Ovis aries: one gene and its partners. The protein of the gene in region 7 interacts with the protein of the main gene of each other region in a biochemical or structural test. Links are inferred from orthologs where the notes say so. Each region holds a gene or a part of one and is shown on either strand. Other genes may lie near its edges.

Region 1 (4,046 bases), on a different chromosome or scaffold from region 7:
CTCAGGAGAAAGGTCTATGCTGGAAACACAGATTTGGGAGTGCCAGGGGATGGGTAGGAGGTTACATCATGGGGATGGATACATTTGCTCAGGGACAGAGTGTTGATTGAGGAAAGGATGGACTTTCAAATACTCACATTTAAGAGATGATTACACTAAGAACAGTCTTGAATAAGGCTAAAATTGAACAGCCAGATTTTGGTGGGTTGAAAAACAAGTGGCTCAGAGGGTCTTGAGGTGGATGGAAGCAAGGATGTGCCCTTGACCCTTAGTGTCTTGAACCTTGGTAAGAGTCAGGGGCGCCGGTGGGGGACGCTCCTTGAACACTTGAAAACCCTGAGCAGCTCTGTGATTCTAAAGGATTGACTTGGATGACTGCCTCTTACAAAGTCCTCCATTCTGGAGCAGCTGCCTTTTCCTCTGTCTACCTTAGTGTCCCTAGCAGATAGCCCAGGAATGTCAGGGCTCCCTCTAGGCCCTGGAACAACCTTCACTCTTGAATCCTCCCACAACTCCTGAGAGGCCTACGGGGTGGTGGCACAACTATTAAGAGAGCAGACAGGAAATGTCTGGGTGTGTGATACATGTGGGAGGCCTCAGGCTAGCCTGTGGAGGAGGACTGGGGCAGGACTGGAAGGACTTGAACTCTGAGAGTGTGGACAGATGCCCCGTTGTCTGCCCCGACCTGCCCTGGAGTCGACTTTAACCTTGGACAGGGTGACCCAGGGCTATACCACTGATCTCTAGGCTGCTGTAGAGTCAAGAGGCCTCTGAGAACATAGAGTCCAAGGTTATATTTAAGGGTCTGTTCTTCCTGCTCCTTTGCCTTGGAATTTGGCCCCAAGGTACAATTGAGGGGCCCCGTGGCACCACTGCTGGGCAATGCATTAAACCGTGGGCCTTGGAGACAGAACCAGCTGACAGCGTGATCTGGAGTTAACATAGTCACCACAACCGACCCTGCCGTTGCCACCTTCTCGGAAAGCAGCCACCTGTCTGGCTCTAGGTTTTGTCTGGCTGCCAATATAAAGCATGTGCCTACGCAGGAGCTGATGACATTTTGGCTCCACTTTCAAAGTTTTTTTTTTCCTTTGTTTCTCATGTGTTTTTTCTAAAGATAACAAAGGTCAAAAGGCACCCAGCATTTTCTGGTTTCTCATAAGCTTCTGGTCAATATTTAATCTGGTTTATGGATTTTTTTTTAAGTCTTCTAGATGCCTTCTTGAGCCTGCTTGTGGCCACCCACAGACACTTGTAAGGAGGAGAGAAGTCAGCCTGGCAGAGACACTGTGAAATGAGGGACTAGAGGCCGGGATCCAAGGAGCCAAAGCTACAGCCAGCAGACAAGGGAGCCTGCCCTGAAGCCGCGTGTGAGAGGTCTGCCATGGCCTCTCTTGGCCTCCAGCTTGTGGGCTACGTCCTGGGCCTTCTGGGGCTGTTGGGCACCCTGATTGCCATGCTGCTCCCCAGCTGGCGAACAAGCTCCTATGTTGGTGCCAGCATTGTGACTGCAGTTGGCTTCTCCAAAGGCCTCTGGATGGAGTGTGCAACACACAGCACAGGCATCACCCAGTGTGACATCTACAGCACCATGCTAGGCCTGCCCGCTGACATCCAAGCTGCCCAGGCCATGATGGTGACGTCCAGCGCCATGTCCTCCTTGGCCTGCATTGTCTCTGTGGTGGGCATGAGATGCACAGTCTTCTTCCAGGAGTCTCGAGCCAAAGACAGAGTGGCGGTGGTGGGCGGAGTCTTCTTCATCCTTGGAGGCCTCCTGGGCTTCATCCCTGTTGCCTGGAATCTTCACGGGATCTTGCGAGACTTCTACTCCCCGCTGGTGCCTGACAGCATGAAATTTGAGATCGGAGAGGCTCTGTACCTGGGCATTATTTCCTCCCTGTTCTCCCTGGTAGCTGGAATCTTCCTCTGCTTTTCCTGCTCACCCCAGGGAAATCGCTCCAACTACTACGATGCCTACCAGGCCCAGCCCCTGGCCACTAGGAGCTCTCCAAGGCCTGGTCAAGCACCCAAAGGCAAGAGTGAGTTTAACTCCTACAGCCTGACAGGGTATGTGTGAAGAACCAGGGGCCAGAGCTGGGGGTGGCGGCTGGGTCTGTGAACACCAGTGGACACCCTCCTCTCCCAGGCCCACAGGTGAGGGATATTGGCACTGGATCGTGTCAGAAGGTGCTGCTGGAGATAGACTGACTTTGGCCACTGGATCAAACAAAGGCAGAAACAGGAGCTGGTGTGACAGCATGCGGGTTAAACTGTCAAGACTCTTGCTAAGCCAGACTTTCTGTTTCCTTCATCTTGGCACCCTCCACCCCCCAGCCCTCGAATACCCAACCCTCAACTCCAGCCACCCCCCACCAGAAGCCAGGCCCCAGCATCTACCCTTTACCCTTTGATTTACCTGGGAGTCCATCCAAAAGCCCACTAAGTACGTCCCACTGACTGACCCTCTCTGTGATCAAAGACCCTTCCTCTTGCTGAGGTTGGCTCTTAGCTCATTGCTGAGGGATGGGGGTGGGTGCGAAGGGGTGGTGGCTCCTGTGGGCATGGCGCTAATCTCCTTTGCAGGCCTCCCTCCAAACAAACTGATTGGCCAGTAATGGGCCCTGGAGCCTCCTCCATCCCACTCTTATGACTCCACATGTCTAGACTCAATGTGTCTAACTGAATGTGTATGAACTGAAATAAAGCCACCCCACTGTACTGAGGGAACAGAGAGCAATGGGGTGGAGGATGAGAGGGCAAGGACCAAAGCTGAGGATCAAAAAAAAAAAGAGGCCAAAATCTCGGCCCAGGGACCTAGCTCCCAGAGAGAGGAAAGCACAAGGAAAGAACGTGCGACAGAGCCCTCAAGGCGGCAGCAGGTTCTGACTGTACCGAGGCGCTCCCTCAAAAGCTACAGCGCCAACTTGCACTGAAGCCCCCGTCTCCCTCTGACCTGGCGTCCTGCTAACAACAGGTGAAAGGGCCTGCACAATGGTTTCTGTAGAGAAAGGAAACTGGTTTGGTTTAGAGATGGCCCTTGGCTGGGGGTGACAGCCTGGGAGCACGGGTGGACACGGGTGGGAACTACAATGAGTGTTTCTACTGGGCCAGAGAGAGGCAGCCCCCGGGAGAGTCTTCAGGCTTAATGGAGAAGCAGTCTGGAGACTGAGATCAGGCCCCCGAGGTCTGCCCACAGAGCACAGTAGCACCTCTGAAAGACCACAGCCCCAGATGAGCCCCTGTCAGTCACCTTCCTGTTCTCCCCACCATCCTTTATCAGACATGGTGGCATTGCTAGAAGGCATCAAATGGCTCCAGCACGGAGTCATCCTGACCCAGGTGCCGTGGCCCTCATCTGAGTGACAGCTGAATTGCCACCTGGGATTTTGGTTGAGATGGAAGAGTAGAGGATTCCCAGGCAGACAGTTTCAGCTCCAAGATTTCAAAATGCCCCCTTTCCCCTGGGGGTGGAGGTGGGAGTGACAGGCACAAACAAACCAAAGGCTTGAGCATGACTAGCTTCTGACAAACTCCAGTACACTGCCCTAAACCGCAGCGCCAGCAGGAGGGGTCCAGTCATTGCCTGGAACATGTCTTTCACAGTTCTTGCCTGTATTTAAGCTCCTCTCCCAAGCAGGAAGGCCCTCTCTCCTTAGCTAAGTTTTCCTCATGCTTGGAGAAGCTGCTTGGCACCGCTTCCTTCACCGAGCCTCCTCTGACCACTCCGTCCCTCTCCTACCCCTCCATCCTCCAACCCTCAATGTAAAAAAATCACTCTTTGATGCTTATTATTCACAATGTTTGATGGATAATTATCTTTCTATGTGTATGTAACCGATTTCACAAGTACATTGTAAACTCTTGAAGGGTAGGGTCCATATCTTAGCCATGTGTATATTTCCCAGACTGTCTGTAAGAGTGCTGAGCACATAGTAGGTGATCAATAAACACTTGTTGATTGAACAACTGTTTTATTAATTCTAATTAATTCAGACAGGGCAGGTATGACTGAGGGAACTGGGCGAAGGGGAGGGTAGAATAGAAAC
Region 2 (3,362 bases), on a different chromosome or scaffold from region 7:
TGGCCTTAGCCTGTCTCTGCTCCATCTTTGTTTCCTGTTTCTATGGAGGCCCTGCCCTGTGACCCATGAGCCAGGGAGCAGCTTCCAGTGAGAAGTGGGCTGGAGGCATAAGAGAAAGTGACAGGATAGGAACACCACCTCCACCCAACCCTAATAAAATATTTTATTTTGTATTAAAAGAAAAAGTTCTTTGGTTGCTATTTAAGCAAAAGTCGAAAGTGGACAGGACTGGAGGCTGGGAGTGGATGAGGGAAGCAGATGCCCTGAAGGGGATGGAAAAAAAGCCTACTTTCCAAAACATTTTTATTACTGTACAAAAAGCACACCCTCCCTTTTTTGTCCCCCCCACCCAACCCCCCAGGAAACTGTACATGGTGTGCTGGGCTAGAGTGACTGAAGGCTTTTGCTTGGCACCCTGCCCACAGGCTGAGCTCTCTGCCCCAGGTCCTTTCATAAGGAGGCACCTGTAGGCTGCCAGGTTGGGGCAGGGGCGTCCCAGCTCACACATACTCCTTGGCAGAGTTGGGCTTAGGGTAGGAGCGAGGTGCACGGTATCCAGCTTTGCTCTCACTCCCAGGACAGGAGCAAGAGAGCAGCGCACCTCCCAGGATGATCAGAGCAGACCCTGCCCAGCCAATGAAGATGGCAGGACCAAATTCATACCTGTGGAGAGAAGGGATTGCGGTCATGAACCCTGGCCTGCCTCTCCCAACCCCAGACCCCTTAGGAGATAGGGCTCTCATACTTACTTAACATTCATGGGGACCAACGGGTTATAGAAATCTGAGACAATCTGATGGCCGTACCAGGAGCAAGCTATCAAGGCAGCAAGACCTGGGGAAAAAATGGGGATTCAGGTACTGTGAGCCACCCCCCCAAACCCGCACTGTGTCCACACTTACCCCTTCAGGATGGTTAACAGAGTCCTTGTCCCCACCTTGGACCTGTGGCTCACCTGCCAAGATGAAAATGATGCCTCCCGTCATGGCTATCCGGGCCTTCTTCACTTTGTCGTCTCCCCCACAGTTTGTACACTTCATGCCCATCGTGGCCACGAATGTGGCCAGGAAGCCCAGCACCAGGGAAACCACCATTAGGGCTCGAGTGGCCTGCAAGGCCGCTGCGGAAAAGGGGTAAGGATGCCATCCTTGCTGGAAATGACGGGGCGACCCTCGGACCGATTCAGACCCCGAGTCCCAGGTCGGAGCCGGCGGGTCCCGCCCCCTCAAGACTCCGTGGCCTTCCCGCTCTGCCCCGCCCTCTCGGCTCTAGGATCCGCCCGGGGCGCCTGGGTTTCGATGAAACTGCCCCCGCGGAGGGGGAAGGGTGAAAGTGGACGTCGAAGGAAAACAGAGGTGGTGACCTGAGCCCCGGTAGCGGTGGCTGCAGCCCCGGGGCCGCCCGCAGTCCTGGCTCTCGTCTCAGCTCTGACCCCACTATCGAGGCCACGGTTTGTGGCTTCGGCTAATCGGCCGATAAGATTAGAAGCCGCAGGCGGCGGCCCAGGGGGCAAACAGGAGGCGAGGCTCCTCGGCCCTTGGTTCGACCCAGCGGCCCCCAGCCCAACCCCGCGGCCTCCAGCCCGCGCCGCCTTTTGTCCGAGAAAAGGGCGGGAGATGGCGAAGACCTTGGCCTCCTCGGGGTAGGGGGAGGGGAAGGCCGCGCCCCAGGACTCAGCTTACTGGGAGCGGCTTGGTCCGCTGGCCGCTCGGCCGGGAGACGAGGCGCGTCCGCGGGCGAAAAGGGGCTCAGCCGGACCCGCGCACGTGCAGTCCCAGGACCTCAGCCCTACCGCTTCCTCCTCTCCAGCCGCGCTACCGCGCAACCCAGCGCGTCGGGCCGTGGGGCCTCGAGCCCGGCCCCTCACCCACCCCGCGACCCCGGCTCTGGAGCATCCGCCCCGTCGGTCCCGCTGTCTTACCCGGCAGGGAGAGCACCGAGTCGTACATTTTGCAGCTCATCATGCCGGTGCTCTGCGTGACGCAGTCCATCCACAGCCCCTTGTACATGGCCTGGGCGGTGATGATATTGTCGCCAGCGTACGAGCTCATCTGCCACTGCGGGATGGCGGTGCATGCCACCAGGCCCACCCAGCCCACCAGAGCCATGGAAAAGCCCAGCAGCTGCAGGCCCGAATTGGCCATTTCCGCCCTCAGAATAGACGAGGGGCGCCTGGCGGGCGAGTTTTTAAGTCACCCAAAGAGGCAAAAAAGAAGTTGTTGGTCGACTGCTTGCAAATCTGGTCTCCGGAGTAAACAAACCGACCCCTCCGGCGAGGCGAGAGTCTCAAGGCAGAGGGGAACAGGACTGGTGACCGACAAAAGCGATCCGCGAAGGCCTGGCGGCTCCCTCGGGCGCTCGGCGACTCTTCCGAAACAAAAGGTGGAGGGGCCGTACGGGCGCGGCCTCCGGGTGCTGGAAGTCCCCAGAGTATCCTGGGCTGTCGGCCCGAGGCTGCTGTGCCAACTAAAGGTCGCTCAGCGGTGAGCGGGCAGGTGCGGGCGGACAGGTGCTGCGCACCTGAGTATAAGTAGGGCGTCGGGGGCGCGAGACAGGGAGTGATCGAGGGGCGGCCGAGGGTGACCTGACGTCACCGAAGGGACACTCACCTGAGCCGGAAGTCCTTGCCCCCACCCCTCCTGGCTCAGGTGTGGAGGAAGAAACCTGAGCACCAGCGTCACGCCCCTTCACTTACTGGGCTCGGCCCGCTGGAGGGGGGAGGTGGAGTCTTCTCGGGAGTCCCGAGTTCTGAGGAAGCCCCTCGGACTGGAGGTCCCTCGGGCGCAAGGACATCCCTTCCCCGCTCCCGGACAGGTGCGCCAGGAACGCGGCGGAGCCTGAGCGGGAGAGATGCCCCAGGCTAGCCCTGGCTCCGCCTTCCCCCCGCAGGGACTCTCGGCTTCTACTCGCTCTTTATCCCGCCCTACTTTCGCCCCCACCCTCGGTTCTACTGTTTTTCTCTTCAGTCTCCTTTCCTCGCCGACCCCACCTTCCGGGGACCCCTCAGGACTGTCCACTTCAGCCGTCTAATTAGAGTCTCCACCGCCAGAGCCACCGCCTAGCGCCCAACCGCCCCTCACCGCAGTCGCCTGCACCAGACACCTGGCTTCCAGAAGCGGTGCCCCAGCACCCGTCTCCTCCGCCCCCTATTCCGATCTCTGCTGGACATGACTTAATGGCGGGGCCCTTGGCACCCCCCCGCCCCGCAGTCACAGTCTCGTCCCGCCTCAAGTGTCCTTTCCGCAGAAGGAAGAAACCACTGAAGCCAGAATCCAGCGAAGGGAGGGAGCAGGGTAAGGCCTGGGTCAGAGTCTTGGCCACACCCACCATTCTCTTCCCCTGGAGTTTTTCCAGCCGGTCCT
Region 3 (3,974 bases), on a different chromosome or scaffold from region 7:
GAGTCAGTTTTGAGAGAAAGGCCTCAGCCCCACCTTTGATAAACTCTGGCATTAACCAACAGGAAAATAGGAATAGACATGGAGTTAAAAAAAAAAATCAGAAAGCAATCTCCAAAATGGGTAGAGGAAAGGTAGTGTTCCGATCTTCCACCACAGCTTTAAAAATCATAACAGTTATGTTAGGTATAAATGAAAATAAAACATTTTAACACATCTTCATGTGTAGGAATAACCTATTTTGGTATTTACAACATGGATTGATCTGATTTCATTTGGCTGTTTAAGGAAGGTAAGTCTATTTGCACATGTTGAAAATGAACTACTAGTATTTCCCTGGTGGTCCAGTGGCCAAGACTGCACTCCCAGTGCAGGGGAGCCAGGTTCGATTCCTGGTCAGGGAACTAGATCCTACATACCACAAGTAAAAGATCCAAGATGCCCCCCAAAAGATTGAAGATCCTGAGTGGCACAACTGAGATCCAGGGCAGCTGAATAAACATAACTTGAAAGATACTTAAAAATAAGAAAATGAATCATTCTGATCAGAGGAATCAGAGATCTATCTGGAATTGTCCTTACAACCATCTCCATCTGCCAGTTCTTCAATCTGACATGCCAGATGCTGTACAATTCCTTACACGTATTTATCCATCCATGAGGAGATTCGATGATTATATAAAGTCATATACTTAATGTACTCCTTATATTTGGTATGAAAGAATCCTAATATGGGAACTCTGAAAAGCTGAGATGGCAACACTAAAAACCGCCATGTGTACACTGACTCACAAATTCCACAGGTACTCGAGAGTTTTAAACAGATTCGAAACAGAGTGAACAACTCTAAAGGGCATGGCTTTTGACAAAACCACACACAGGAGGTGGACAAAGCAACTGAAGTAAACTTGAGCGACGACTTGAACACTGCTTACCGTCAGCACACAAAGGGGACTGGTGGGCAGGCTTGTTTGTCTAGGCAAAGGCTAAGGAAGCTTTTATTCAAGTTAGTTCAAGTGCATGACAGACACAAGTTCAGGACAACTAATGTCATATCTCAAGGAAGCTACTCTAGCCATGAATTGTTGTTACCTAAGTAAGCAGGAATTTAATGAATTTCTGACAAAACACTCAGAAGTTTTTGTTTTAAAAAACAATAAAAGAAAAAATCCATCCTGTCACTCTTCTCTCCATCACATCTAGGACTATTTCTCTCTACATAATCCTGTCCAAACTTATGAAAGAAAGAAGCCAACATTTGTTACATAGAAATTCCTCTGTGGAAGACAGAAACTCAGAGAAGACCTGCCCTCTCTCTCCCAATCTCTGCATTCATCAGCTGTATCTCCTTAGCTTCATTTTCCCCTTTATATAACGGAGAGAGGTAATTTTGAACTTCTCTTTCTTCTCATCCTTTTTCCACCTGCCACCCACCTTCACTTTCCAAAATAAGACTATACAATCTCCTCCTCTGAAGACTCCTGGTCTGAGAGCTAAACCTTCTGGGGAATCTTTAGAGACTTACTTCTTCAAGGAGTCACTGGAGGGAAAGACTTCCTCACACTTGTTTAGTCCCTCAGTCATATCTGAGAATCTGCAGCCCCATGGACTGTAGGCTGCCAGGCTCTTCTGTCCATGGGATTCTCCAGGCAAGAATACTGGAGTGGATTGCCATTTCCTTCTCCAGAGGATCTTCCTGACCCAGGGATAGAACCCAGGTCTCCTGCACTACAGGCGGATTGTTTACCACTGAGCCACTGGGGAAGCCCCCTTCACACTAACTGGATCTTAGAAGTCAAAAGAATCAGGAGATTCAAACTCAAGTGTGAGAAGACACTAGGTTGAGACAGTCTATGTAGGACTCTGATTTCTTCTCATGATAACTCATAGTAAAGATAGAGAAAAAAGTTATATCTAATAACTGGCATTATCTATTTAATTTTACAAGCTGGAGAAGCTTTCGGACTCCAGATTTTTCAAGGCACATCATTTTCTTGTCCTAACCCTACAGTTCTTCAATTTTCACAGAATCTGAGAATGTCCAGGAAAGGCCTAAGAGCTCAAATTCGAGTTTGGCTCCCACTCGCTCAATTGCCACCCCACTCATGGGTATGTAAGCTGAAACTCACACCTTGAGAAGAGTGTCACCTAGGGAGTTAGAGGAAAAATTAGAGCTTAGGTCTGGTTGGCCCTTTCCCCAAACCACGGTTCCCTCTACTACCTTATGGCGGGGCACATGGTCAGAAGACTTGATCCACTGAAGGTTGACAGACATGTAATCACACAACAGAACCTTTTGATAGCTACTACTCCAAAAGAGAGCCATTTGGGGTTGGGTCCCTGTAACTCAGACAGCAAAGAATCTGCCGGCAATGAAGAAGGCCCGGGTTCGATCTCTGGGTGGGGAAGATCCTCTGGAGGAGGAAATGGCGACGCACTCCAGTATTCTTGCCTGGAGAAGCCCATGGACAGAGGAGCCTAGCGGGCTACAGTCTGTGGGGTTACAAAGAGTTGGACACGATTGAACGATTAACATTACACCACCCTGAGCCACAACTGGGGAGTGGGGAAGGCACTCACTGTTCAGATTCAGCAAGGAGTCGAAGACTTTGCACTGGATCTGCCCGGTGCTCTGCGACACGCACGACATCCACAGCCCCTCGTAGATGGCCTGGGCCGTCACGATGTTGTCACTAGCATAGGAGTAAACCTTCCACTGGGGCAGCGCCGTGCTGACGATGGAGCCGATCCAGCCCAGAAACGCCAGGATGAAGCCCAGCAGCTGCAACCCCGCGTTGGCCATGACTCGCTCGGGCGCCCGCGCTGGCTCAGGGGCAGCAGGTGCACAAGGCGGAGTTTGCAGGTGCTCACCCGGGACTCCCGAGGGTGACGGAGCCTAGCGGAGGAAGTTATTGCAGGTAACCCTGCCCCCTGCGCTGACGTCGGAGAAGCTCTGGGACCGGGTCCGCCTCTTGGTCGGCGCTGCGGTTCGGAGGCGAGAAGCTGAGGCTGCTCCCGGACCGCGACTGAGATGCAGACCCGCTGGGCGCCGCGATTTAAAGCAGCTCCGCCCAGGAGCGCAGCGCCGCCCAGGAGCGCAGCGCCCTCTGGCGGTTTCCGGGCGGGTTGCTGGAAAGCGAGAGGGAGCGCGGGAGCCCGAGATGGGGCCGAACTCTGGCGGGAAGGTTCTGCCAGCCAAGTGGGGACGCGAGAAGGATCAGGTACGCATCGTGTCCCGGTGCTGCTCATTTCCTCTCTTTTCTCCTCTTGCCCTTTTCCTCTGTGAGCCTTCCCAGGCTTTCCGTTCATTCAATCCACATTTATCCAAAAATGACTAAGTATGACTAAACACTAAAAAATGCCAAGATGAAAAATTAAGACCTCAAGAGACGCACAGTTTCGTTTTCGACTTTTTCCTCGCTGATTAAAAGACATTTCTATGGCTCACCACCCCTCTAACCTCCCTCACACACTTTCCTCCCTTTCCGTTCAGCCTCCTCCCCGTTTTCCTTTCCTCCCAATGCCCTTTCTTCCATTCGAGATCTCTCCTAGAATCATAAAAGAAATGTTGATACTTTATTTATTAGGAAACGGAGACCCAGAGAGGAAACGTGATTTCCGTAAGACCATAGAGCAAGTTGATAGCATATGCAGTACTCTGGTTCTCAGCCCACTCTGCCCAACTACATCTTAGCTTGACCGAAATATATGTCCTTTGAGCTTCCCTGGTGGCGCAGCAGTAAAAAAAATCTGCCTGCCAATGCAGGAAAGGCAAGAGGCACGGGTTCAGTCCCTGGGTCTGAAAGATCCCCTGGAGAAGGAAATGGCAACTCACTCTGGCTTTCTTGCTTGGAAAATTGTATGGACAGAGGAGCTGAGTTGGTTATAGATTATGGGGTCTCAAAAAGTACCTCAGTGAGTAGGACTTGACTGAACACACACACCCATCCTTATGGAAATACAGCCTACCCACCCCT
Region 4 (3,459 bases), on a different chromosome or scaffold from region 7:
AGAAGGAATTTAAAGGCCTGACAGCAGGGCTGCTGGGTTTACTGAGCCACGCACAGCCACAGAACTTGGGCCCAGGGAAGCCAGGCTGGGGGGCCACATGGAGGACCCCACTCTTCCAGCCCCCTTGGCGCTATCCTGGGTGGACCTACATGGCAGGTGAACGGCACTGTCAGAGCTGTTCCGCCCACGGCCTGTGTCGTGGCATCAGGTGGATGAGGGCAGGAGGGCTGGCCTGGAGACTCAGGAGCCAATACTGCTCCGAACAGGCGTGTGGCTGGCGCACCTGTGTCTTAGGGCCTGCGGTAGGGGTGGGGGTAGGCCCAGGGAAGGTCACCCAGGAGCCCTGCGTCTCTTCTGCACAGACACAAATAGACCATGAGGTTACTCAGCTGGAGTTTTCTCAAAGGTTTCCTAAGCCACCAGTGGTGTTTCCAATTGAACAGGAGCAGTTTGGGCTCCTAGTTTAAGTTGAACTTAAAAAAAACAAAAAAGATACAGTATTTAACAGCATATGACAACTTATTTACAATTTAAATAGAAATTTTCAATAATCAAAATACATCTTTAGCAAAAATTTAGACTGTAAAATTTTATAAAATAAACACCCATAGAAAAGCAGAACATCATGTCAGTACCATTTCAGATTCAGCACAAGATGAAGGCTCTCCAATGCTGGGACCCTCTATAGATGAGCAGGGTTCCCACAGCTAAGAAGATCCCTCCTTCTAACAAGCTGTTTACTGTCCTGATTTGGGCTGCTGTTATAAAATGCTTACCCAAAAAGAATCCTCCGGGTAGACACCAGGACTATCTTGGCAAAGCCTGGGGATGAAGTGGCCCCGGGGCCACCGTGAAGCCCCGTCACTGCAGCCAAGGCTCAGGTCATGACCCTGGCTGCCAGCCTTGGATGCTCATGCTGGCGTGGCCCCACCATGGGACAGGTCACCATGCCTCCTGAGCCCAGGTGGCCCACCTCAAGGCCGGCAGACCCCACGGGGTTGGCTTCGTGAACCCGGCCACTTCCTCGCCTTCTGGTGACTTGCTCATCTCCAGGAAAACTCTTTTATTCATGTAGCTTGTTAAAAAGTAAGAAAGGAGTAGCGGTCAACTTTGGCCAAAACAAAAGCTTTTGTGCGCGTGTCTAGCCCCATCCGGCGCCCCTTGCAGGGCTGCTCCTGGCAGTGTTCCCCATGGAGGTGTCTGCGTGTGCACACAGCTGTGCCACCATCTAGATCACAAACGAGGACTTGTGTCTGAAGTCGCCCTGAAAGGCCAACACAGCAGGTTAGAGGGTGGCCAGCAGGTGGGAAAGGAGCCTGACACCACTTCCCTCAATGCTCTCTTGGATGGGAATGGCCACAAGGCCTGCAGACCAAATGCCCCACGAGCACACCGCCTGGGGGCATGCTGAGGGGCTCATGTACTGGACATAACTCAAATCTCTCTCCCAGGGACCCGCCCGGTTTTTGGGGGGATGCCATCTTCCCTGCTGGAGTCACCGTCTCCAGGCTTCCTTACCTCCTCATCTGTCCTGATGTAGTTAACTCCATCTGGCTTCCCTGGGTTCTTGTAGCTGAAACAGAGCAGAGGAGCTGGGTGACGCCTGACAGGCCATAGCAATGCTCAGGGCACGCTGTTCACGCAGGACAGGCTCACCTTTCCCCGTTCCGGCTGTGGCTGATGAAGTAGCCACGTCTATAGGCACAGCAGATGCCCCCTGTGATGAGGGCCAGGACGGTCAGCACGACTAGGACCCCCCCGATGATGCCGCCGATGTTGAGGTCATCTGGAGAAGGCGAGGGGTGAGAAGATGCTGCCCCCACCTCCCAACACCGCCCCCGGTCTGGAGCAGCTCTGCCCACAGGCTGTGACACCCACCTGCTGCACCATAGCTGCTGCAGCCACAGAGCATGGCCTGCGCTATGGGGAGTAACAAGCCTCTGGGCACATCCTAGAGCTTTCTTACTGAGAAATGGCTCCCCTACAGAGGAGAACTAGGAGCCAGAGTCCTGAGGAAGAAAAACCCCTAAATTTCTAGGGCTTCTCTTTGTTGAAGATTATTTAGTTTCAAGTGGCCATTAAAAGGGCAACTAGGAGGTAAGAACGTGGCCTTGCAGCCGCCAGCCGTCCCTCAAGGAGACCCTCAGCTGCACTCTCGAGCTGCAGTGTGGGGCCTGAGGCTGCACGCTTTGTGCAGGTAACAGCACAGTGGAAGCCACGCAGGTGTTTATCGACCAGTGCTGTCCAGGCTGGGGCTGCTGCAATTCTCCCTTGTCTGGCACAGGGTTCTTGGACGTGAGCACATGGTTACTTAAAGATGCACTTGAATTCTGACTTCATAACGTCAGTTTCCAAGCTCCCTCTCTCAGGTCAGGAACTCTGGGGCACAGCCCAGGAATCTTCTTCCTGCCCAAGATCAGCTCCCCAAATCTGGCAGCAGCCGGGGAGTCCCCTGGGGACCGGTTCCACAGGTGGGGTGGGCCCTGGACCCTGCCCCCCTCCACTGAGCCCTGACAGCCCAGAGGAAGAATCACCCCAACAGCATAAATTACTGTGGTGAGCCCTAGTTTCCGCTTACTGCAAAAAGGTCAGACTGGGTAAATACCTAGAGACCTTACACAACCTTATGTTTCCATGATTCTATCAGTTACCAAAGAAATGGAGTTCAGGATACTTCAGTGAAAGCTGTGGGTTGAGCAGAGAACCCGTGGGTCAGTCCTTCAGAGGGTCCTCCCACCAGACCCGGCAGACTCCAGGGAGCCCATGCGCCCCACAGAGTGAGCATGACCAGCCTGCCAGCCCCCGGGTCGAGGCTCAGCAGACACTCACACACTTCCATGTCCTGCTCCTCACAGCGGGCCGAGCCCGCGTCGTTGGATGCAATGCAGTAGTACTGGCCCGAGTCTTCCTTGTGGACGGCGCTGAACACCTGCCGGGGGTCGGGAGTGAAGGGAGACCCAGTGCCATCCCACCTGCCCACCAGGGGCTGTCCCCAAACACGACAATGTGGCTCAGTCTTGCCCACGACACGAGCAGCCTGCACACACCAGCAGTGTCGCAACGTCATTGTGTGGCCAGTGAGCGAGGCCCACTGCCTCCCGACTCTGCTCCGGATGGCGCTGGGCAGGCTGCCCTGCACTCCCCTTGGCTACTGTCCCCTCAGCTCTGCCTGCCCTCCTGCACCCGCTTACAGGCTTTCCTGTCTATAAAGGGCGGGGGGTGGGGGTGGCTCCTGATATTAGGGTCTGTAGCTCTGGTCTCCTGTCTGCTCACAGGAGCTCTGCCCACAGCACAGACGCCCATACCGCACCTCTTCCCAGAGCTCTTACCAGAGTGCCCGTCTCAGGGTTTAAGATGAAAGAGGAGTTTCGGAAGCGCTGGTTGGCCCTGGAGTCTGTGGGCAGTGGCACGTCGTTGCGGTACCAGCTGTAGTGCGGCCGTGGGAAGCCCTCGCCCTCC
Region 5 (3,947 bases), on a different chromosome or scaffold from region 7:
GTACTGTTTTTTAAAATCTCTATATCTCTATGAACGACTCAGATTTTTTGGCCCATTAAATTTTCAAAGTTTAACAAGTGAGCAGGAAACACACCCTTCCATACCCTGAGTTAAGCTAGTACAAGGAAGCAGAGAAGTAAAATTGTAAACAAAGGATCTTTTTAAAATGCACAAATGAAAGGAAACTAAAGTTTGAACTTTGGAAAGACAGGACAGTGTATTCAAGGTATTCTCCAGAAGAAAACTGCAGGTGGAATTTTTCAAAATCAACACGAATGTTTAATTCCATTGCTGTCATCATTATTATTTTGAGACGAAAAAGTCCAAAAATCATTTACGGGCTTCTACCTCCTACTGTAAGGAAACAGTCGAATACGACAGCACAAGGCACATCCCGCTCCTCTTGAAGACATGGTATTAAAGACGTGTAATTGACAGATTTAGCTGATTTGCTGAATATAGTCACTTTGTCATATAAATTTTTATTTAGAAATATCAGCCATTTGTATAGACCTAAAACTTGCACCAGTTGCAGAATTCTAGTTGCTTAGGTATAAGAAGACAGAAAAGATAAAGCTATAGAATGAGATAACAACCTGAAAGTCAATCCATCATTTAATTACTATTGTGAGTACTTGCTACATAAGAATCCAGAAAAAAAAAAAAAAAGCAGAAGAAAGTCACATGGATTTTTTTCTCTTGTTTTGTATTTCTTTTTCCTTATAAATTAAGATTATCATGTATATACCAATGAGTGGTTTCCCTAGCTCAAAAGAAAACAATATGTGCTTGGTGCCATGGAGGAGGACAAGAGTATGTATTTAATTACTTTAGCCTTATTTTGTCCCTTGGCAAGATCTATTCCCTGATTTCACCCCAGTCAAGCTTGCTTTGAAGTCGCTGACAAATTAAATCAACCACTTGGATCATATGTGTCCCAAAGAATGTGGTTTCTCAGGTATGAGCAATCTATCAATCCCCTGGTCTCCTTTCACTTTGGCATTCTGACAATCCTAGCAAATTCTCAGGCAAAGATTGCAGCTTATGTTTTGGCCACAGCAGCCCTTACTCAAAGTTTCAGAATTGCCAGTTCAAGGTACAACTTTCACATCTCAAGGGACTGATACATTTCTTGACGATTGCGCAAGCATTCTTAATTATGCCTCCAGGTAAACATACTGCTGTCTTCTTGGACAACTGAGAAGTACAAAGAATGTTTATGTGCAGGTCCAGTTCTTCCAAGTATTTCTTGTGGGCTTAGACACACCTGAGTTACCACCCCCCTCTTATTGGCTGAGAAAGTTGCCCCACCTGATTTGTAACTTTACCCGCCACAGTCAGTAGCTGGGGGCACCTCCGCCAGCCAACACTGGATTTAATCTAGTTAGAAGTAGCCAGGCAGCTCTTGTTTGAAAAAAATCACTGAGTTCTGAGTTCATTACTACAGAAAAACTGCTCTCCCTCGGTGCGCAGAGAACCTGGCTTCAGAGCAGCCTCACCAGCTCAGGCGTCTGGTCGGATAAAACCCAACCTGGAGGAGAATGGCTACCTACGCCCTGCAAATCGCCGGACTGGTGCTCGGTGGTGTGGGCATGGTGGGCACAGTGGCTGTCACAGTCATGCCTCAGTGGAGAGTGTCTGCCTTCATTGGAAGCAATATTGTGGTCTTTGAAAACCTCTGGGAAGGACTATGGATGAGTTGCATGAGGCATGCTAACATCAGAATGCAGTGCAAAATCTACGATTCGCTGCTGGCTCTCTCTCCGGACCTACAGGCAGCCAGAGGACTGATGTGTGCCGCCTCCGTGCTGGTCTTCCTGGCTTTCATGACGGCCGTCCTCGGCATGAAGTGTACCAGATGTACTGGGGACGACGACAAGGTGAAAGGTCACATTCTGCTGACCGCTGGAGTGATCTTCATCATCACTGGCCTCGTGGTGCTCATCCCCGTGAGCTGGGTTGCCAATTCCATCATCAGAGACTTCTACAACCCAATAGTGGATATTGCCCAAAAACGGGAGCTGGGAGAAGCGCTCTACATAGGCTGGACCACGGCCCTGGTGCTGATGGTTGGAGGGGCGCTGTTCTGCTGTGCTTCTTGCTGCCATGAAAAGAGCAGTAGCTACAGATACTCCATACCGTCCCACCGGACAACCCAGAAAAGCTATCACACCGAAAAGAAGTCGCCGAGTGTGTACTCCAAAAGTCAGTACGTGTAGTTATGGCTCTTTTTAAACTACCTAGGAAGCCACACAGATGACATAGATGTCCACTCTTTCCAAAACTGAGACCCAAAAGAACATTTGATTGGCTGTTCTTAACCGCCTGGTCTTAATCACAGGAACTAATTACATCAGCTCTTTATGATTCTATAATCGATTTCAGCTGAATGAGAAATTGTACACATTGCTAGGATTATTCTAGAAAGAACAATTTGTTTCCTAAAATGGTTCATATTTTTTCTCCTTTTATTAGTTACTTCAAAATGACATTGTTAGAGACAATTATTTTACAACTGTGATTTCTCTGACAGAGCGTTATGTATATAGATGAGTGTGACATTTCTGTGTCACATACGTAGAGATGGGTTTATACAGTCTTATTTTAAATGAAACACTGATTCATTACACTGAATAAATAGAATTCAACTATTGCTTTTCAGGGGAACCAGGGGTAAGATTGAAGAAGGTTAATATTAATTGTTTAAAAACAACTTAGTGATGAATGCACTTGATTTATAATGAAGGTTAAAATGAAAGCTTTAATCAGCAGGGTAAAGGGAACTAAATGGCTTTTTGATATCTCATTTTTCAGCCTAGGAGTTAGAAATCCAAATTCCTTTCTCCTCATTCTCCAGAGGCCTTCCTTTTCTTGTATATTAAATGGTCATCTTTTAAAAGCCAGATATTTTGTCAAGGGGCTTTGCATTCAAACTGCTTTTCCAGAGCTATACTAAGAAGAAAGATAAAGCTATAGTCTAAGAAATATTAAAGACTTCAGGAAAGTGAAGATTTTTTTCCTCAAGTTTTTGTGGTTGGAGAAGGGTACATTTTGACAAGAAATATTATATATATATGAATATTTTAATAACTATTTGTATAGAGACTTTGGACTTTCATTAATATAAATAACAGAAGAGAAAAATTCTATACCTTTATTTGATTACCAAAAGAATGAAACCAAATTGTCTTTTGTGAACTGCATCTCCTTATATGTGGACATTTAAGTCAAAATTATGATTTCAGTTTTCAAAGGTGAAATTTTTATTTGTTTCAATTTTGTTCAGTTTTACTAAGGTACAGGTATACTATATCTTTATGTTTCCCCCCAGATTTGATTGAACTGTTAATCTGATTCGAAAGTCTGTATACACATCTTTCTAGCTTAATTGACTATGTGTATCTGCTTTATGTCCTTTGTATTAATAAATTGTGCTTTTTATATTAATTTGATATCTTTCATTTTTCTTCAGTTTTTAAATATTTTAATAACTTGTAAAGAGTTTTTAAAAACCTGATATTTTCAGCTTTGCAGTTAAAAAAGGCTTTCAAAATTGCATTTTAAAGATAAAGATAGATTCAGCATTAATTTTTGAGAATAGAGTATTATATATCATTTATATATCATTATATATCATATATATCATTTAATATGATATACTTACAATGATTGGATTCACACACTAGTGTTTGATGTTGATAATATATTTGTAATTTTTAATGTTGATAATATATTTGCAAATACTATAGGTTCCAAAAATCTATACCCTGCATATATTATTATGTATGTAATAGCTATTTATGTACAAACTTTCCATAGGGATATATAGTCCTGCCTCTGAGAAATAGTATTAATTAATAATAGTGCATAATGTTTTAGGGACATGGGTTATAAACTAAGACCTCTACTGTTTTAAATGAATTATATCACTAAATCTCTTATAAGAC
Region 6 (3,500 bases), on a different chromosome or scaffold from region 7:
GCAGGGAGAGGGACAGAGTCAGGGGATGAGAAGCGCAGGGCATAGGAAGAGCCTGGGAAAGCCGGAGGGGAGGCTGAGGCAGGTAGGGAAATAAGCAGCTGGCCCGAGGCCTGGCCCACTCACAATGCGGTCTGGTGGTGGCGTACTCCCGATGAAACACTCCACCTTGCCGCCGTCGCCCCTGACGGCGTACTGCACGGCCTCGCTGGAGATGATGGGGGGCCCTGCAAGCAAGAGGACAGGGTCAGGGCCCAGATGGAACCTCCAGCAGCCCGCCCCTGGGCACCCCCCCACCCCCCGCCTTCCTCAGGCCCCTCACCATTCACGTAAAGTGGCACCTCCCGCTCGGCCACTCCGATCCGAGGCACAATGGCCCGGCAGGTATAGGTGCCGGCATCGGCCTGGGTCACCGACTTCAGCAGCAGCTGGTTGCTGTTACTCAGGACCTGGGCAGAGAGAGCAGCCTCGGGTGGGGAGCCAGGAGGCCTGGGCCCCTAGATCCGTGTGGGCCCCCACATTGGAGGCATTGGAAAGAAAGCAGGAAGGGCCACAAGTGAATTCCCAGAAGGGAAGCAGAGTCCCGAATCTTATCTGGTCCATCCCTTGACTCTAAAGAGGTTAGCATTTAGACACAGCATCTCTGTAAGAGCGGGCAGACCTGGGTGGAGGTGCATGAGGGCAGGTGAAGCTGCCGTGATTTTTAAAAGAGGATGCAGCCACTGCTGGTGGCCTCTCTTAGTGTTTCTCTTGCCAAATGAGGAAGTTTCCCTCTAAAATCCCTCCTTCTGCAACTCTGGCCCAAACTGTCCCATATAGGCCTCTGCTGCTGCTGCTAAGTTACTCAGTCGTGTCCCACTCTTTGCGACCTCGTGGACTGTAGCCTACCAGGCTCCTCCGTCCATGGGGATTTTCCCGGCAAGAGTACTGGAGTGGGGTGCCAGAGCCTTCTCCAGTAGGTCTCTGCAGAGCTGTAGAATTCAGCCTTCTCTAGCGCATCACCCTGGCCACTCCACCCTCCTATGCAGCATTCACTGACCAGGTATCTTGCCAAAGCAGCAGCTCCAGTCCGGCCCCCTTTCCCCATCCCACCCACAGGTCACTGTCCCTCTCACTGCCACTGAAGCAGCCAGCTGTCTGCCAATGAAGGGTGGGGTTGACTGCAAGCACCGTCCTTCTCTTCCAAATCCAGAGAACTTGGAAATATCCCAGGTTCAACTTGAAAAAGAATGCTGTGCCCCCTGAGCCCCTCTCTTCCCAACCTGTGGCCAGGCTTCTACCGCCCAGGGTTCAGGAGAGGCGGAGAGCTTCTTACCATGTTTGAGTCCTTTTTGGTCCAGGTGAGGGTGAGGGGGGGATTCCCAACCCAGACACAGGTGAGGGTCACATCAGAGCCAATATCTGTGGTCGTGGGTTTAGGGTCAACTACAATCCGAGGGGCAACTGAGGTAGAAAGGGAGAAACAGATCATCAGGGTCCTGAGCTCATCGGGTAGGTGGGGGGGGGGGGTGCAATTCCAATCCTCCTGCCTTGTCTCTCAGCCCCACAGAGCCTCCCCCACCCCAACCCAGGTCCCTTAAAGCCCTTGCCCCTGCAGCTACTCACAGTGGACATTGACTAGAGTGCTGACATTGGTGCTCCCCACTTTGTTGTGAACCTCACAGGACACGGGCTCCGTGAAGAAGGAATAATCAACATTGGTTTCATAGCGACTCTCATGGGCATCTTCAATCAGGAAGCCCCCCTTGGCCCACCTGGAGGAGGCAACACAGCAGGGTCAGGCCTTGGAGCCCTCTTGGAGCCCTCTCCCCGACATCCAGCGGCCTGTCTTCCCCAGTCCCCCACTCTGGACCTCAAGGGCCTCCCAGTATCCCTCCCCAGGGTATGCCCCCGCCCCGCCCCTCCCCTCCTACCTGTAGCCCAGGATCTCCGGGTTGGCCGTGGCCTGACACGTAAAGATGACACGCTCGCCCTCCTGCACCGTCTGGGGCTCAATAGACAGAGTCACCGTAGGGGGGTCTGCAAAGCAGAGGACGGCAGGTCAGGATCTTTTCTGTCCCTCAAATTTCTTCTCTCTCTCTAGCACATACACTGAGACCTCACCCGTGTGGTGATCTGGGAATTTGAGTTTGCAGTGTACCAGCTCCAGTAAATAAGCTTTCCTCACCTTTATTCCAGGAGCCTCTAGGGGCCGGCTAGGGTGAGGACCAAGGATGATACCAAAGGGACAAATTAGTCAGATGGTGTAGTGACCAACTGTGACCACTAGGCGTCAGTGTGGGTTCGCTAGGCTCACTAGCCAGGATGGGGGTGGGGCGTCTCTCCAGTTGCTGCCCACACTTCCACTCTTGGGCAGTGGGAATTTATTGAGCACTTACCCAGTAGCATACTCCATGTGAGATGCTCTTACACTATATCTCACTTAACGCTCACAACCCTGAGAAGCAGGTATAGGTCATCACAATCCCTTATCTGAAACCCCTGGAATGAGATGTGTTTCAGAATTTGGAAATTTTCAAATGCTAGAAAGGTTATGATGACCACAGACCATTTACTGTGTAAGACCCCCAGCAGAATCTGGGCAACATCCCATAGAAACACACATTAATAGTGAAATGTATGGCTATTCCTATTGAGTTATTAAATAAAAGACTACAAAGAGCTTCCGTTCAGGTTTTGCCACCCAATCACTTTTGGTTTGGAATTTCCGATAAGGAGCTGTAGGCCTGCGTTTTATTTTTTGCACATATTCAGAATTAGAAACTACGGCTCAGAGAGATTACGTCATTGCCCAAAGTCACACGGTCTAAACCCGGGAACTGCCTGGCTCACAGCTGATGCCTCTTGTGCCAGCTCTCAAAGCCTACAGTTCAAAGCAGGAACTCGAAGAGGTCAAAGGAACGGAGCATCTGTCCCGGGGCCCCTGGGGGATTCTTCTGTGCTTCCCAAAGGGTGCCACCCCCCAGGGTGCTCGTTGACCCGCCCGGCCCCACCCGCCTCCCCCGGGGGCCCTACTCACGGTGCACGTTGAGCTCAATGGACGTCTCCTTGCCACTGGGGATGGCCTCGTTGACGCTGCGGCAGGTGAAGACACGCCCAATGTCCAGGTCTGTAGGGTTGATGAGCAGCTGGCTAACGGTGGTCTCTCTCTTCCCATCCTTCAGCAGTTCCTGGGGCGGGAGGATGAGGTGGGGAATAAGGGTGGGAGACACGGTCAAGCTAAAAGCCCCTTCCTCTGCTCTTGGAGTGACCCACACAGAGCTAGGTTTGCTGGAGGGGCATTTAACCTGAAGCTCTGCCCTTCCCCCAGCCCCTACCTCCTCCCCAACCCCAGTTTCCTCTATTATTAGCATGATGCACTAGTGTGATACATGTTACATCTGATACATAATACAAGTAATGACCCGACGTTGATACCCTATTCCTAACCGAGGCCACAGTTTACATTAGAGTTCACTCTGTGTGTTGTATAGTTTTCTCCATCGTTTTAAGTCTCGTTCCTG
Region 7 (3,500 bases):
TGTCCCAGCTCTCAAGAGACCAGTACAACTTTGATACCAAAACCAGACAAGGACAAGAAAATTTTTTGTGAGCATAGTAATATAACTTATCACAGGACAAAATAAAGGAAATAAATCATAGGATCCTCTACAGTGCGTTTGGCCTTCTGTATCCTCGGATGTGCAGCCCGAGCGGGGGGTGGGCGCTGTACTGCACCAGTCCCACCAGGGACTTCTGCTCCGCATGCAGAGTAGGGGCGTCCTGCAGATACCAAGGACAACTGCACATAAAGTCAGTTGATAGAATGTTTTCAGCAAACTAGAAGGAAGGGCACCCAGAGAAGTCACACACTGCCCATCTGCTCTCCCAAAGTGGGAGCTGGAGCAAAAGAGGTGTGCTATTATCGCTTCTATTCACATAGCACTGCACATCCCAGCCATTGCAGAGAGGCAAAAAACAACAACAGAAAGGCATAAGGTTTGGAGAGTAAAAAGTTAAACTTTGTCTGCAGACATGACCGTGTGAAAAGAAAATCCTAGCATACAGTGTTATCGAATCACAGCCCTGGGAGTGGACACCGGTGACTATAGAGCAGCACCGTCTGCAGCAGTGGGACGTACGACGAGACGTGCGCCGTGTGTGTCCTGGGAGGGCGCCACAGGGGGTGGGGGTGGGGCCACAGGCCCTCCCAGGGTGTCTAGGCTGCAGGCTGGAAAGATGGCGGGAGGCTCAGGAGAGGTGTACTTGCTGAGACGCAGGAGGAAGCTGAAGGAAGCAGGAAGGGGGGTGGGGGCAGTGCCTTGGGCGAGGGAGACAGTTTACTGATCACAGATGTGGAGGACAAGACACAGGCAGACACGCAGGGACACCCCCAAGATGGCCCTGCTGAGAGACCTCGTGTGAGGAGGGATGTCACCATGATTTTTACAAACCACCCTTCATTTAGTTTTGGACATACTGGTAAACTCCACGTACAGAAATTGAGCTGTGTTAGGCAGAATAAACTCTATCTAGCTAAAAGGCAACAGTCATGAAAAAGATGTACTTTTAACAAAATCCTTATTTTTCACTGTCCTAAGCCCATAGGATTCAAGTGTGTCTTTCTTACATAAACCCACTTTTACTTAGAAAGCACGAGTCTAACATTAGCCTCATAAGTCTAACTGTAACAGTTGTCTGCCCACTCCTGAGCCGTCTACCTTCACCGTGAGCCCCCTTGGTGTGTGCATGGAGGCCAAGAGCTGTGTTGGCGCTGGGCTGAGCACCCTGGCTGTACTGAGCGGGCAGCGGCGGAGGTGGGGGCGTCGCCTGCAGTGGGTCATAGCGCTTCTCCCCGAACGACCTGTCCACAGCTTCAGCCTCAGCAGCCTTCCCCCTGTGAAAAATGAGGACACATCAGCACCTGAAGATGACGCACACTACCAAGGAAGCTCCCATCCTTCTAGGCATCCCCAAGTTGCTTGCTTTCAATTGAGAATTTCACAATTTATTCCCTATGAGTATGGGTACTCTACCAAAATACACAAACTAAGTTAAGCCATCATCAGCCCCAGAGAGGTGAAAACACCACAGATATAGTAAGAATATTAGTAAGACATCCAGAAGATGGCAACCAAATGGCAGATGAAATTTCGGTACACTCATAATACTGAAGATGGTTGTTCACAAAAAATTGCAATGGTTGGTAAGTATTTTGACGAAACATTTATTGGCTCAAATCCTCCTTAGATTCCCATCTGCTTTTGCATCTAAGGCACCAGCTGGGCACTAGAGGATGAAGCAGGGGCTAGCAGGCGTTTTTGCTAAGGGCTGGGCAGGAAATGTTTCGGCTTCTTGGGCCACACAGTTTCTCTCACAGCTCCTCAAACTCTGCCCAAAAGCAGCCAAAAGCAGCATTTAAGGGACAGGACTCTGCTGTGTCCAGTAACATGGACACTGTGGTCTTTAAATCTGCCCTTGATTTACCAGATCCATTCTCTGTTTAGCAATTCCTAGAGGAGCAAACACTGCTTGATTTTAAGACTCATTTAAATCAAACTGTGCCATGTATGCTTTTTTTTTCAGATTGCCAACTGTTCATATGGGAATACATAAAATTCACAAAGAAGACACCTTTACAACAGGACCCAGAATCGCAGTGCTGCCACCTGAGCTCTGCAGAGCCCCGCTGCACCTGCTTTACGCGCACACACGGTAGCACAGAACTTGGAATGGTCACAGATTCTGGTCACGGTCCAGTCGCATGGTCAACTCAAAAAACTACACCCTTAGGAGGACAGGAAGTCAGCCACGTGTGCACTGCGAAGGGCCCGCATGGCGTAGCTCACACTAGTGTCTTACACGGATGCTCCTGGACCAGCAGTCAGAGCTAGTCTAAGAGCCAAGAAATTTAGGTGGTGGCAAAGCCAGCACAAGAGCAAAGTCAAAGAAAACAGTCAATCTAAGTCTGCCACAAACAGAACTATGTTTCTACCTCATGTTCTGTCCATGTCTCAACCTGGCTACACTGAACCAGTCCTGGTAGTTAACAGTCCTAGTTACTGATTCAAACACTACTACTGCAGGGGTCCCAAAAGAGACTATCTAGATGGGAAGCTTTTTAAGAGGACACAACAGCCTCTCTCAGCTCAGACACGGCTCCAAATTTCCCTCTCCTGCTGACCTAGGACTTGCTTACCAACACTGTGTAAACGACTTCCTCGTAACACATCCACGTCTGTCTTCATTACTGTGAGTCTGTTCTGCTCAGGTATGGGCCCACCTGTGCCTGTGTGCGATTACACTCCATTCTCAGAATGAAGTTCGCCCCCAGTCAGGGCTCAACCAGAGGCAGAACCAGAATACACACAACATAGGAACCCACAAAGGCACAGGTGAGCTTGTAGCTTGTAACCCAGCAAAATCCACGAAAAAGTAAAGCAACCAGAGGCCCAGTAGACAAGCAAACAGAAGGGTGCAGCACGGAACAGGAAGACGATGGGCAGGGCCTCAGAGCTCAGGCCCTGTGCTGCCCCCTTCACAGCGCCCCACGCTGACAAGTGGACCAGAAGTCACTACGTCCCCTTAAGCTCAAACAGTGATAGCAGGCAAGTTTGTTCTTGCCTTGGGAGAACACCAAACAACTCTTCACTCCCTAGCATAGCCTGCTTTTATATTTAAAGAACAAAAACCAAGAAGAATGCCAAGAAGCAGCACTGAGTGTGCCACGTGGGAAGGAGGGACTTCAAGGTCAGTCTCTTAAATGCTCACCCTCTTACCTTTGTCAAAGTATTTGGACCCTTAGAACCCCTTGACATTTAACATCTTTTCTAATGTAAGAAGCTCACACAGATGACGCCAGGGTCTAAGAACAAAGCTACACACCCCAGGCTGGATAGCATGCATGCTGAACTGCTTAACACCCACAGAAATCAAGTAAGTATGACACAGCTAACATTTCCCTTCAGAACACACTGAACTTTGTGTGGCTGACTCCATTTGATGCAAGTGATCCTTTGTTTCATCTTAACTTTGAAAATTT

What was found.
Region 1: the proteins of TJP1 (region 7) and CLDN2 form a complex in vitro, tested with the Homo sapiens proteins (2 studies listed by BioGRID and IntAct, with this or other methods). The link is inferred for Ovis aries from reciprocal best matches to the Homo sapiens genes TJP1 and CLDN2.
Region 2: the proteins of TJP1 (region 7) and CLDN7 form a complex in vitro, tested with the Homo sapiens proteins (2 studies listed by BioGRID and IntAct, with this or other methods). The link is inferred for Ovis aries from reciprocal best matches to the Homo sapiens genes TJP1 and CLDN7.
Region 3: the proteins of TJP1 (region 7) and CLDN1 form a complex in vitro, tested with the Homo sapiens proteins (2 studies listed by BioGRID and IntAct, with this or other methods). The link is inferred for Ovis aries from reciprocal best matches to the Homo sapiens genes TJP1 and CLDN1.
Region 4: the proteins of TJP1 (region 7) and JAM3 form a complex in vitro, tested with the Homo sapiens proteins (2 studies listed by BioGRID and IntAct, with this or other methods). The link is inferred for Ovis aries from reciprocal best matches to the Homo sapiens genes TJP1 and JAM3.
Region 5: the proteins of TJP1 (region 7) and CLDN8 form a complex in vitro, tested with the Homo sapiens proteins (2 studies listed by BioGRID and IntAct, with this or other methods). The link is inferred for Ovis aries from reciprocal best matches to the Homo sapiens genes TJP1 and CLDN8.
Region 6: the proteins of TJP1 (region 7) and KIRREL1 form a complex in vitro, tested with the Homo sapiens proteins (3 studies listed by BioGRID and IntAct, with this or other methods). The link is inferred for Ovis aries from reciprocal best matches to the Homo sapiens genes TJP1 and KIRREL1.

What each region holds. Positions count from the first base shown.
Region 1 is NC_056080.1:128,411,158-128,415,203, reverse strand, and holds CLDN2 (claudin-2), read left to right. Parts: upstream 1-1,246; 5' UTR 1,247-1,384; coding exon 1,385-2,077; 3' UTR 2,078-3,966; downstream 3,967-4,046. UniProt on the Homo sapiens protein: Forms paracellular channels: polymerizes in tight junction strands with cation- and water-selective channels through the strands, conveying epithelial permeability in a process known as paracellular tight junction permeability.
Region 2 is NC_056064.1:26,860,628-26,863,989, forward strand, and holds CLDN7 (claudin-7 precursor), read right to left. Parts: upstream 2,145-3,362; coding exon 1,922-2,144; intron 1,121-1,921; coding exon 956-1,120; intron 835-955; coding exon 750-834; intron 664-749; coding exon 501-663; downstream 1-500. UniProt on the Homo sapiens protein: Plays a major role in tight junction-specific obliteration of the intercellular space.
Region 3 is NC_056054.1:197,851,246-197,855,219, reverse strand, and holds the start of CLDN1 (claudin-1), read right to left. Parts: upstream 2,801-3,974; coding exon 2,578-2,800; intron 1-2,577.
Region 4 is NC_056074.1:30,404,147-30,407,605, forward strand, and holds the end of JAM3 (junctional adhesion molecule C), read right to left. Parts: coding exon 3,330-3,459; intron 2,930-3,329; coding exon 2,830-2,929; intron 1,787-2,829; coding exon 1,657-1,786; intron 1,574-1,656; coding exon 1,435-1,573; 3' UTR 1,265-1,434; coding exon of another isoform or gene 1,229-1,264; 3' UTR 501-1,228; downstream 1-500. UniProt on the Homo sapiens protein: Junctional adhesion protein that mediates heterotypic cell-cell interactions with its cognate receptor JAM2 to regulate different cellular processes. Plays a role in homing and mobilization of hematopoietic stem and progenitor cells within the bone marrow.
Region 5 is NC_056054.1:126,338,464-126,342,410, forward strand, and holds CLDN8 (claudin-8), read left to right. Parts: upstream 1-1,339; 5' UTR 1,340-1,541; coding exon 1,542-2,219; 3' UTR 2,220-3,447; downstream 3,448-3,947.
Region 6 is NC_056054.1:108,440,894-108,444,393, reverse strand, and holds part of KIRREL1 (kin of IRRE-like protein 1), read right to left. Parts: intron 3,168-3,500; coding exon 3,017-3,167; intron 2,017-3,016; coding exon 1,911-2,016; intron 1,752-1,910; coding exon 1,603-1,751; intron 1,441-1,602; coding exon 1,313-1,440; intron 495-1,312; coding exon 320-494; intron 225-319; coding exon 124-224; intron 1-123. UniProt on the Homo sapiens protein: Required for proper function of the glomerular filtration barrier. It is involved in the maintenance of a stable podocyte architecture with interdigitating foot processes connected by specialized cell-cell junctions, known as the slit diaphragm.
Region 7 is NC_056071.1:26,237,855-26,241,354, forward strand, and holds part of TJP1 (tight junction protein ZO-1), read right to left. Parts: intron 1,356-3,500; coding exon 1,180-1,355; intron 1-1,179. UniProt on the Homo sapiens protein: TJP1, TJP2, and TJP3 are closely related scaffolding proteins that link tight junction (TJ) transmembrane proteins such as claudins, junctional adhesion molecules, and occludin to the actin cytoskeleton.